Linked DNA regions of Drosophila melanogaster. The protein of the gene in region 1 interacts with the protein of each later gene in a pairwise test. Each region holds a gene or a part of one and is shown on either strand. Other genes may lie near its edges. The genes, in order: Csp and Ptp99A.

The links.
Region 2: the proteins of Csp (region 1) and Ptp99A interact in a two-hybrid assay, tested with the Drosophila melanogaster proteins (one study listed by BioGRID).

What each region holds. Positions count from the first base shown.
Region 1 is NT_037436.4:22,265,818-22,273,674, reverse strand, and holds Csp (cysteine string protein), read right to left. Parts: upstream 6,294-7,857; 5' UTR 5,923-6,293; coding exon 5,888-5,922; intron 4,323-5,887; coding exon 4,184-4,322; intron 4,102-4,183; coding exon 3,949-4,101; intron 3,887-3,948; coding exon 3,755-3,886; intron 3,744-3,754; exon of another isoform or gene 3,455-3,743; intron 2,762-3,454; coding exon 2,699-2,761; intron 2,118-2,698; coding exon 1,913-2,117; coding exon of another isoform or gene 1,905-1,912; exon of another isoform or gene 1,307-1,904; coding exon 1,284-1,306; 3' UTR 377-1,283; downstream 1-376. Other genes in the region: CG11523 (uncharacterized protein), read left to right, coding at 7,121-7,597; Ddx1 (Dead-box-1), read right to left, coding at 7,830-7,857. UniProt on the Drosophila melanogaster protein: May have an important role in presynaptic function.
Region 2 is NT_033777.3:29,375,806-29,380,736, forward strand, and holds the start of Ptp99A (protein tyrosine phosphatase 99A), read left to right. Parts: upstream 1-1,840; 5' UTR 1,841-2,219; intron 2,220-4,931. UniProt on the Drosophila melanogaster protein: May play a key role in signal transduction and growth control. May have a role in the establishment of the intersegmental and segmental nerves.

The DNA.
Region 1 (7,857 bases):
GTTAAGTTTAAATTTAGTTTACTTAGTATTTTTGCTTTGACTTGTACGAACAATAAATACACACGCAAGACCGTAAAATGTAATTATTAATAATTGAATTTTATATATGTATGCGTGTTTATACTATAGATGAGCCGGCGACTCTCGGATCCCGGCCCTAGACCCAGGCGCCCAAGGACTTTTATCCTGGCCCGGAGCTGATCGGCAATAATTGATGTCAATGATTTAGAATGGGATACTACAATATAAAAGTTAATTACTGCTGGACTAATCGCATTCATTTACATTTAAAAGCGGGTTAACAATCAAACAAAAATTAATTAGATTCAATTCAATTTTGAAACAATTTGGAATACATAAATATGTGCAATACTTTCGGGGGTTACAATTCAACTTTTGATTACTCGTATTTAATTGTTTTATATATAGAGGGGATTATTAATATCTGTTATATAATTTATATTTGCGTTAATTGGATCGCCCTTCAAAGTGTCCTCTTCTTCGTCCTCCTCTGTTTAACTGTGTGATGCTTAATTGTTTAACTCGTATTTACATTTGCATTAGAATCGGATCGGAGCAATCTGCTGGGCGCGTCGCTCGACAATTCATCCTTTTTACATAAGTAGTTCTGGCTTTAACAATTTAGTGCAAAATAACAGAAACAATCGGTGAAGAGGAGATCTCGAGAACAAATTAGCTAGACTAAGCGACGACACAAATGCCACAAACTAGATACACATATCATATACATATATATAATTACAGTGCCTCTCTTCGCGACTGAATCCCAACTCACGGGCTAAGCCGCAAGGGATCCGATCCCCAAGCAAATGTCTAGACAAACTTCCGATATACAATTTCATCAACACCGAATGGTGTTTTGGTGATTAGCATGACTGGATAGGTGGAGATGGTGGCTTCGCGGCTTGGCTATCGATTCGAGTTGTATAGTGGTACAGCTGCAAGGCTAGATGCATGGCTTGAACAATGGAATTGGTGAATCGATTGCCCGAAGTGGACCAAAATCAACCTGACTGACCGGAGGGCGGCCACGAAGTTCGATAGTTTAAAATTAGAGCTAAGTGCTACGGCTTAAAATAAATACATTGGTTTCTATGTTTACTCGCTTCAACATATCGCGCATTTTAAAAACAACACTAATAATTATGAAATAAATCTGGTTTTCTCTTCTGTTACGATTTAGGGGCTTGTGTTTTCTGTGTCTGTATCTGAATGTGTGGTGTACGCAAGCACCCGGGTCTTGACTCGCTCGCAGCACTTGACTAATATTTTTGATTAACCATATCTAGAGTGAAGAGAGGGGGAGAGAGAAGTAGACAGTGATAAGTGAAAAGAAATCAAAATGTACGCGTTGCATAAGAAACGATAAAACTAAAATCCGTCAAACTTAAGCTACATTCTTTGAATATGTCTTGGATGGAAATTAAAATTTTCATTTCATTTAATTTGCGAAAGCTTGGAAAACAATCTTGAAAGGAGGTCTTTAAAATGGGGGACTTGAGTACGGCTGGCGCAGACCTAAGGAACGAAAGGCTGAGTCAATCAATCTATTCATTGGTCATCCTGCAGCTCGGGCAGTGTGTGGTAATGTAATTCAGCATGCAGATCTAAGTAAATGGATCCCATATTCGCGTGGACATGTACAGAAAGTGACTAAAAAATACCTTGCCGGATACACGAGCTTACTGCTAAGGGGGTGTTGATCTGATCGCTGGACGGGGTATGTCGACTGGTGACTGAATGCCTTCGCCACCTATCCAGCGACCGAAGGAAACAATATTTGTTCGATATATGCACAATAACAAGTTCGATGGTCAAAGACGCTTTGTCGGATTGCCAAACTAGCGGAGGCTGGCTGTGTGGTTGACTTCTGGACCAATTGCTTATATACCTGGCGTGTAAGTGGTCTGCTCCGTTGTGTTTAGCGACGTATTCTCGTTAGCTGCTACAGGGGCGCCGGTGAAGGGGTTTACTCCCACGGCTCCACTGGGCGGCGGCATGGCGAAAACAGGCTGTCCTCCGGCCTGTTCCCGCGGCTGTGAGGTAACGGGGGCTCCGCCCGCACCCAAGTTAACGTCGTCTAGGTCAACGTCCTCCTGCGGGACACAAAAGAGTGGGATTAGGATTTCTGCCGGTATTTTAGTTTCTGCAGCAAGTTTTGAGAGCTTGGAGGGAAGGTCCCTTAACCAATGTTTAGTCAAAAACTTTCGGTGGGCTGCCTACAAGCCATGTATGTACACTATTCTACGGTTTAGTTACGACCACTACATTACTCTTGTGCTGATGGATAGAAGGACCCTTCAAGCCAAATACTACAAAATTAAAATCAGCCAGATGACAGCATTGAAAGAAAATCATAAAACATTTACCAAGTATTTACAGCAGTACTTTCAAAAAAACGACGTTTTTTTATTTTGTCATCTCTTCCTCTGTTCTCTCGATCAAGTTAGTTTTGCGACTGAATGTTAGCTTAGTAAGACGTGTTCCCTTGGAACATATAAATTTCGATTGGTTACCGTTTAAGTAGAGTTCGGATTTGGTTATTGGCTTTGTGTTATTTGGGTGGTGGGTGGGTGGGTGCCTTGAGCCAGGTGGAGGCGGTAGGCAGGCCGCAGGTGATCTTGCACCTTTTTCATGCGGTACTCGTGCTGGTATTATTTTCGATTTGCATACTTACAAGGCGTGGCGGCTGTCCCAGATGCGTTGGCATATCGTTGCCCTCCCGATTGCCATCGGGGCGCTGACGGCGAGGTCGAGAGCGAATGTGTGGTGGTTGTGGGTGGTAGTAGGTGGTGGATATGATGAGTCGATCGCAAAGATTTTTGAGAAAAAAAAAGAAGTTAACCAAAAATAGAAACGTAAGTCTATAGCTTCTGTTCCTTAGCTTGCAAACTAGCAAAGGAAGAAGACTTCTAATCTGGGTGGTTTCAAAATAAATTTGTATGCGCAATGGGACACTTAAAAAACAAGAAAAGCAATCGTGGAAAAAACAATAATCGTTGCACTGTCTGTCTCGAGAAATCCGAGCGTGTATGTGTTGACGTTATTTATTATTTTTTTTATGGAGAGAGAAACGTTGGAAGCATTTGATGATTTTCGTGAAGTACATATATACAAAACAAACACTAACAATAAATTATACAAAAATTGTTCGATGGATCGGAAAAGTTTTAGGGTTAGTCGTGTTTACCTCTGGTCTCAAAAATCAGTATTCTGATTACTTCAGTGTCTGGAGAATTGATAATCGGAAACCAAAACCAAACTTCATACTTACCCAAAATAAACTAATTACAAAGCAGTGCAATCAGAGTAGTGTTTGTACGGAGTAGTGTGAGTAAGGGAAAACCAATCGAGGGAGATGGTGTGCCAAGATAGCTGATAACCCAGGAAAATTATACTAAAAAATGGTTAGGCGTTTATTGTTCGGGCAGCTGTTAAGTAAGCGTTGATGTCAGATGTAGGGGCTCGTTTTTGACTAAACATTAGCTTCTCAGAAGGAAAAATGATACAGATCTCCCCACAAAAATCATCAAAGTTGGTTTGTTAGGTTCGTAATAGTACAGTGTGTGGGTGGATGGGAAGCATGCGTTAAAGTTAATGTTTTAGCTTTGCACCGGATTGGTTTTCTTGTTTTCTCTTTTCTTAACTAAATCAAAATGATTTCAGTTATTGGCGGGCTGTGTTGGGGCGGGTATTATATTTGGACTTGGCTAAGCCAAGTAACTTCACTCACATTCAGATGTGAATACTGATCGTGCGACTCGTTGACCGGCGGCTTGAACTTGCCGCAGCAGAAGTTGCAACAGCAGCAGCAGCAGCAGCAACAACAGCATCCAGTGATCACGGCACAGCAGATAACCACCGCCTGCAAGGAGAATCAGAGATTAATTAATGTGCCTAGGCATGCGAAATACCGCGATTCCTGACCTTTACAGCCGGTGAAGTGACCACGAAGTATGCGTTGACATTCTCCTCGCCAAACTGCTCGGCTATGTACAAGCCCAAAGAGCCGTAGTTGTCGTATATGTTGCGCTTCGTCTGGTCGCTCAATATCGAGTGGGCCCGGTTGACTTCCTTGAACTGCAAATATATTAATATATTTATATTATATATTATATTAATATATTAATACGCATGGACCCATTTCTCGGAAATATTTTACCTTATCAGCCGCATCCACATTGTCCGGGTTCTTATCGGGATGGTATTTGAGTGCGAGTTTCCGGTAAGTCTTTTTAATATCATCTCCGGTGGCTGTCTTCGGAAGTCCTAAGATCTCGTAAAGCGAGTCGCCAGATGTCCTAAATAAATGAAAATCAAGTGAACATGGTCTCTGTATTGCGTAGGATTACTATCCACGTCTCCGCATTTGGAATTAAAGGTTGATAACCACGCACAGGTAAGACCTCAGGAACCACTGCGTGGACCTGCCTAGCGCAGTTGCACTGTGCCTCCGACATTCCTTCAGCTGCGTATGTTACATTCTGACAGAGGGCGATAAGGCCCAGCCATCGCAAGTAGTATTGGACTATGACTCACCGCAGCAACAGTTAGCCGTGGCACGCGATGGGAGCTCATCCGGGCGAGCACTTGGCCCTCAGGGCTTGCCTGCACCCACGGACTAGGCGTTGGCATTGAGGGCGTCCAGTTCGAAAGCAACTGGCATTGTTGGCTCTGCAGCAGGGTCGCGTGCAACATAAATTGCAATCTGTATGGATTTTCTTGAGCAGGTGGGTGCTATTTATAAACTTGGTAAGTTAAGGGGGTTGGGGTGCAACGCTGTGTATGCCTAAACCCGCTCTGAGAATCTGCGAGCTGATAAGGCGGCGAGCGCTCGACAAAGTGGTTGAGGACCACGATGATGAGGGTGATTACAGGCTCAAGCGGATGCGTGCCCCAGGGACACTGGGCGGTGGGCGACTGCACAGGGCCAAGGACATTGGCAGGCATCATGACAATCTAAGCCAACTCGAATTCGCCTGGGCCAAACTGAAGCGGTTAGTGCTGGCATTACTCATATAGGGTACAATTATAGAGACGGCTAACGCGGCCGTAAAACTTTCTGTCCGATAACGGCCAGGCTGGTTAGTTAGTTGGTTGTCGTGTTATTGGATCTGTAGGTCTGTTGTTATCGCGCACTTATGCCGGAATCGGTATGTGTTGCACGAAGACCCAAACATTGAACAATTTAAATAGAACAATATTTATAAAATGAAGTATTCGACTCATTTTTTCTCTATTAAACAATTGAAATCGTGCGATTTGCGGGCAAAAGAGGTGTGGCCAACCGAGAAGAATGCAAGAGGAAGAGGAGAAAGGAAGAGGAAATTCTCATACTGTGTAGTTATAATGTGTAATTCTAATAATGGTCTGTATGTATTACATAGCACATATCTGAATGATATCGGCTCGAGTCTTGATCGATGATGTGCGTAGCCTTTTTTCTACCTTTTACATTTTCCTGCCTAATGCAACATAAGTTGAAACTATGCCACTAAGATTTTAACTAACGATTATTGAAATCAAATAAAAATCGAATTCCGTCAAATGGCCAAATTTGTCCTTGGCCTTGCCCAGGACGAATTCGCTTGTCCGAAATCAAACTCCAGCCGCAGCTGCCCTCCCCTTCCCACTACCGGAGCCCATTATTACCCCTGACCCGGTTCCTTGTTTATCCCGACGTGGAAAGGAAAGTGCCTGCTGGCTCGAGAAAACTTCTGCCGCGAAAAATCAATTTCGCGCCGACCGCGCTGCCTGCGCGCAGCTGCTACTCACACTCGCGCACGGGCTGAGTGTGTGTACTCTGCCGACGGCGCGTGTGTGTGCGCCGTGGAGGAAAAATGAAGGAGCACTACAAAATACTTACGACAGTTTTCTCTTGTCCATGCCAGGTGCGCTCATCCTGATGCCTGTGTCACTTTGACTGCGAACGGGTAACTTGCACTAGCGATCGCTGTCACACGCAGTGAAAGTCTGTGCCTGCCAAGAACCACAATCTGTGCGTGTACTCTTATAATTGCAGTTTTTGACGTCCGTACCGATGCCTCGATTCTTATTTTTTTCGCAACGAAATTAGAGATGGAACTGAACCGATGTTCTATCTTATCGGTTTACCTGCCGACATCAATGATTTCCAGCTCTGGACTAACACGCCATCTATCGCAACATTAATAGCTGCTGTTACGGGACTCACTGTAAGAAATCGCATCGAAAGTGTGCACCAGAGAACTGCAGCAAGCCACTGGCACTCCAAGTGCACCCGCTAAACACTGTTGTATCTAGGCAGCCGGGTGTTTTTTGACACTCTACTTGCGGGAATAAAAAATATCCGACAGTTTTTTATTACGAGCGCAATAACCTTTTCTGGTGAGCGACTCACAAGCAACGATCGGCCGCAGGTCATTTTCTGTATGCATAAAATTTGTATGGGCGGAAGCGAGATTGTCTAAGAAATGAAGGGTGAAAGGGAACACCCAAGGAAAAGGTCGTGCACGTGTTTTTTTTTTTTTGATGCAACCCATTTCGCAGAATATTTTTTTATTAATATTTTTTTATTTAAAAATTAAATTAAGTTTTTTAATTATACAATTACAAAGTTAAATAAGGGAAGCATATATTAAGAACTAATAATAAAATAAAAAAAATTGTCTATTTCGTTTTTTTTTAAATTATTTAATTAAATTAAAATTATTTACAGTTTTGTAAAAAGAATGTAAAAAAGAGGCTATATACAAATTTTGGACTTAATCCATAATCTATACTATGCACCCCTCCATTCCAATTTCAATTATTTAGGAGTAATTTATACTTTCGATACGACAGCAACCGTTTTATATCGGTACGTCTTACGAACTTCTATTAAACCAAAAACTAAGCTAAATTGCATGTAAAATCATTAATAACGATTATATTCAGTTTGGCCGGAACGCCCTGCTCCGCTTCATCGGTCAAAATGTACTAACGCGTGGCACACGCCACACAGCTGCTGTGACACATATGGAGTAGAGTGGAACGACATGTTGCGCCTGTAAAAGGGAATCAGATCGACTGGGATTCAATTAAAAGGCGAGCCGCAGAGCTCCGAAGCGATTCTGTTAGGATGGGCGAACCGAAAGCCACCGCAGACCCTGGGGAGGAGCAGGCCTTCAACTGCGAGGACGAAGCCAACGCCATAATTAACGATGTTAAGGCTCACGTCGCTGAGATTTGCATCTCATCCAAACTGGCAAGCGATGCCACGCAAATTTACCTGAACATCCGGACTATCGAGAGCGCCACTTGCTGCGTTCAGGTGAGCAGTCGTGGCTTCAAGATCGTCTCCTCCCAGTACGACACCATAGACGAGGACAGCCGGATCTCTGCACTGCTTCGCAACGGACAAGAGCAAGGCGACGACGAGGAGGAGGAGATATTTGAAACGCCGTACGCGCTGCTGGACAAGATCAGCCCCCGCTACGTCGAGTCGTTCGGCAACCAGCTGTGCCAGCAGCTTAGAGCGCTGCAACAGATGCGAACCGAGTTCAACGAGGAGGACGAGGAGGAGGAGGAGGAGGCGGAGGAGGAGGAGAAGAAGTGACGGTAACCGGACTCCAGCTTTCAAACGAGGCTGTTTACTCTTTAGACAGACGATTTTAATGTTAGTTTAATTAAATGTTTATTTTTAATAGCAGAGCTTGAGCTCCGACTTCCTACATATACAAAATTGTGTGTTTGTGCCGCAAAAGTATTTCCGCGTGAGTTGGTCTTGCACTTCTCAATTCACCACATCCTTTCCTTGCATAGCAAACAAATGTCGCTCCAGATCCGCGTTAGACCTTAAGACGTTTCAAGAATAAA
Region 2 (4,931 bases), on another chromosome or scaffold:
ACAACGGCAACAACAAGAAGTGCCTGCGATTACAGGACTGCGAACACGATTGCAATGCGACTTCCTCGAGGGTGGATTTTTCAGCTCGTCCTGTCGCATCTTTAGTTGCATCAGGATGTGGCTGGCTGGGGTGGGTACCCTTACTCTCCTTATGGCCATTAAATTGTGGGCAATTGACCGGTTCGAGGGGTGTGGACATCGTTTAGGGGCAGGTGCCTGAGGCACTGGGATAATTGCGGAAGTAACACGCTGATCGGCACAACAAATTATTGCGATGGACTGGCAGTTTTGTCAGATGGCAAATTTAATGCGAAAGAAATCGTGTTCTATGTTCAATTAAATTGACGGTAAATAATACCATTAGAATATATTTAGTTGAAAGATAAAAGATATCTTTTAAAGGACTTTAAATTAAGAAAAAACTAACAAGGCTGTAGGACTATGTAATCCAAACAGTTATTTTACAGACCATGTTATAAATAACATGCCCATGTAATGTTCGCATTAACAGAACATTCAATTCGAATATCTTGTTAACGTTGTTCGAAAATTAAAAGTAGAAAAAGTCTGTAATGTAAACATAACATAGACCAACACAATTTCTCCTTCAACTGCAGGTTCACATCATTTGATTAACCCCGAATGTTATTTATTCCATAGCTATAGGCGTCCTTTTTGCGAATGTTATTAGCAGAATGGTTCGCTTTCTACCCCTTTCCAAATTTAGGACAATAACATTGCACTAACATTCTAGAGTAGACCTCTGTTCCCTAGCCTGTTCAACGCGTTAACAGAACGTTGACTCAGTTCGAATGTAGACCAACAAACTCATGAAAACAACATTCGCGCAGGACCAAGGGGTGATTTTCGAAAATGTTACGGAAACCTTCTTTTGCGGTGGAATTTTCTGTAAACACTCGGTTACAGGACAAGGCAAAAACAACAATTTACTGATTCAGTATTCAGTATTCAGGGGTTATGATTTTGGTCGAAATCTTTTCCAGACATTACAGCGGTTGAAGAGTTCTAACATTACTACAAATGTACTACCAATGTTAAGCATTTTTACTGTTCAAATAACTGGCAACAGTAAAAACGTCCACTGATTGTGAATAACTCCAAAATGTAATGTTATGATTTATTTTATAAGAAATTTAAATCAATAAATTATTATAAATATTTTTCGAATATTGAATATAATCGAAATAAGCGGATTATAAGATTTGGAAAATTAATTGAAGCTTAGCTCCTTTATAAGAGACTTTATATAACATATTATTTAAATTTAAAATTAGTTTTCATCCAAAGAGCTGCTATGTGTGGCCGAAGCTAACTGCGGTCCGTCCAGGACCTCTTTGTAGTGCCTTAGAAATTCCTAAAACACTTGCTGCCAACGTTTCAGTTCTGTTTGTGCCGCAACGCTCGACACCTGAGCGATTTGAGCAGGTCGTGGCCGCCGAAGAGCGCGTCTCTTATCAGTGATAAGGCCAGCGCAATTCGGAGTTTGGTCATGGTGAGTTTCGGAGTTGAAAGTGGAACAAGCGCTCTCCCAATGAGAGAGCGTGAGTCCGTTCGCTCTCGGCAGGACGACAGCCGAGGCGTCCACCCGCGCACAAATCTAGGCAACAGCACACACTGAAGCTCGCAAAGAAGTTCGGGAGACACACACGGTGTGTGTGGTGGAAAGCCGCTGGAAACCCGAAGTCGGCCACGAACCACCGACCTTCTATTCTGGAGGGGTTTTCCGGGGGATGCGGCGGTGGTGCAACGGCAGTGGCAGCGGCAACGGCGGCTTCTGCCTTTCAGCTGGGAATTTATTTGCGCAAAAACGAAGCGGCTCAGTTTCGTGTTTGTTGTGCGCTCGTAAGGATGTGTCCGCTGGCGCTGCCGGACTTCGTGCGTTCGCGTCGCGTGTGTGCGCGTTTATCCTGACGCTGAATGTATCTCAGCCAAAGCGGCCGAAACGGGCCACGAAAAGTGCTTGAAAATCAGGCGAATAGCTCAAGTGAATGCCAGAATAATAATCATGCATATTGATAAAGCGTTGAGAGAAAATCAAAAATAAAATGCGGCAATCGCTGTCCAGTTCCGTGTTAAGTTTTTATTTGTGTTCGTGTGCTTGGATTCGGAAAGCAGGATCCCAATTACCGACGATCTCGAGGATAAACCACTAACTGATAGAAGGTCCTGCGTTGCGGAAAATAAAACACAGCAAAAAGGTGGTTATCCCCAGATTTGGTGACCCACAAGCATAACTAAACGATTCGAAATCGAGGCAACTGGATGAGAACTGGGTGAAAATTCCAAACTCGTCGTCGTACTGCAGCATATTTAGCATTTTGCATTTTGGGGCGGACTTTTGGATTTATGTTGACCCACTTCGCTAAGCGATTTCCCTTTCAATTTGCGTCTTGAAGCGATGTTTTAGCCAACTTATCCCTCGACCATCTCAGTTAATTAGTTTAATTAGTGAGTGTCGTGGGCCCATCGTTGGTTGGTTAGTCGGTCTGTTCTGGCCCAAAAATCGGTTTGGCATCTCGAGCCAAAATTAAGAACCTTTCTGGCGCAAAGTTTTATTTGAAACTGCTGACCCGGGATTCGGTCGGTCATGCCCTGCCGCTAATAGCCGACATTATTGTTAGGATTCGCTGGTAGTGGGAGTTGGGACTTTTCGGGACTGGACCAAACAAAGGGCCATCGGATCGACTGTATGTGCCATTGAACAAACACCAAGCCAAAACGAGTGAAACCCTTTTTGCGCCACTTTTCCTAATGCCACGACTGCCATTTGTTGGGGCAATAAAAGCCAGCCAGCCAGCGACTTCAGTAAAGATGAAATGAAAATGAAATAAAATAAACAACAATGGCTGGGCAAAATTAAACTAAATTTATTTGCTTTGCCACTAAATTTGCGCTGATTTCGGCAGCAGCTTCACTTCACTTCACTCTCGCATTATGTTGCCCCACTCAAAAAATGTGTTTGTCAACAAAGCCAGCGGAGCGCAAAAATGGTCCTTGGTCCTTGGTCGAATCCCCTTGCACCAAAAAGAAAAAAAATCGAGAGTGTTTGTGCTTAACCTTTTGGTGGAGCCGGATTTCTGGCTCGACTGGTGTGGCACACGTTCAACTATTTTGGAATTTGCGGCACGTGCCCAAATTGCAAACATCAGCAAATAATAATATAAATTCAGCCAGCAGTTCGGGCATCCAAACCGAATTAGTCGAGTGTCCTTTTTACAGTAGTGCTTACAAGATGATTAGGCGTGTGGCTGGCATGTGATACATTTAGCTGCTCGTCGTATAATAATTTCATTGTTGCAGCTCTGCAATTTATAATGCGGCAACAATTGCAGTCGCACTTGCAGCAAAGGCGTGCAACTTGTTGTCGCTGGATGCAAGCCCACCCCTTTGTGGCAACACTTGAGCCGCACAGCCACTGCAGTTGCACTTAAGCTTCCACCGCTGCAGTTGTTATTTCTATTTCTATTCTCTCTCTACTTTTGCACACCCATCGTGAGCCGCCGTCTGGCATTATAATCCGCATCTATGTGAGTCGGTGCAAGTGTATACAGAAGCAAGTGCGCGATGTTGTGACCAGTTTTTTTTTTTTGCAGGAAATATACATCTTGATTGTTGAAGTTGAAGCTGACTCGATCTATGTGTTCGAAGTTTGAGTCCTGCAAGGACTTCGGCGACACCTCTGGCCGTGCTAATTAACCAAGTTCCAGCATTTCCATTTAGCTGACTGCTTTTCTTTCATGTCAAAGCATTTAATTATACTCCTACATTTACCCGCTCCCTCTCGTTTCCCGCTTTCCCCACGCTTTTCACTTTTTTCCACCTTTTTTTTTTACTGCTGGACTTTGCCTGATTTATTTATGCATTTACCTTTGCGAGTTGCCCGTGGAGGAAGCTGCTGTCATGCTGCTGGTTCGTTGTCTTAATTCATTTTTTATTCCAACGTAAATAAGCTGTAAATTACAACTTCTGTTGCTCTGCTGTTTCCAGCTGATGTTGCTGTTTTTGCCGCTGCTCCCTGAATATTTTGTATGATTCTACTCCGGCAATTCCCGGGCTGCTTGTTGCCTGCCTCGTGCTGCATGCTGGAAGCCGCATGCCCCGTGTCCCGTGCCTCATGCCAAATGCAGTGCCATATTTTTTCACTCTTCACTGACGCCCCGTCCCTTTTTTTTTTGCATACACAGAGAAAACGGAGTCAGAGCAGCATCTATTTTAATTGTAAATCACAAGCTTTTAGTCATTCAAACAATAAATCAAATATTTTACAATGAACAAAAGAATAAATAATTAGAGGTAATAAGCTGCATATTAGGATGTTGATCTATACAGTTGGGCAATACCAATTATATTTTTATAAATTATCTTTTATAATTCATAATATTCTTATGCATTTTATTATTTTTCCCAATGTGCATAAATCATTGCGAAAGCGGGAAATGGATGTGCATGTGAAGTGGAAACATAATGGCTTTCCTGTTGCTAAAAAAAAGGACATAAACGAGTGATAAAATATGAAAGTTTTATGAGCAATTGTGAACGGCTGATACACTTTAGACACATATCTGTGTAGCATTGATCAATTTGCGTTGCATACTCGTGTTTTCTCGCTGTGCTGGAAGTCACATCCCGCTGCTTTTTGCTGCTGTTTAATTTAAAGTTTGCCACCCAAAAAGGGGAGCAGCATTGCAGTTGGTGGTGGGAATGTGGGGCTGTCATAACTGCAAATCGGCTACTGACATCCAGCTACTTAACGCTCCTCACTGCCTTCCGCTCGCCGTTTGCGTTTGTGTTTGTGTTTGGGGCATGGGGCATGGGGCATGGGGCATGGGCATTCGGGCATGAAAGCGGCTCGGAACTGTCTGCGGACCCAAAGGGGACAACTGCCACTACTACTTCTAATGGTCAAAAAG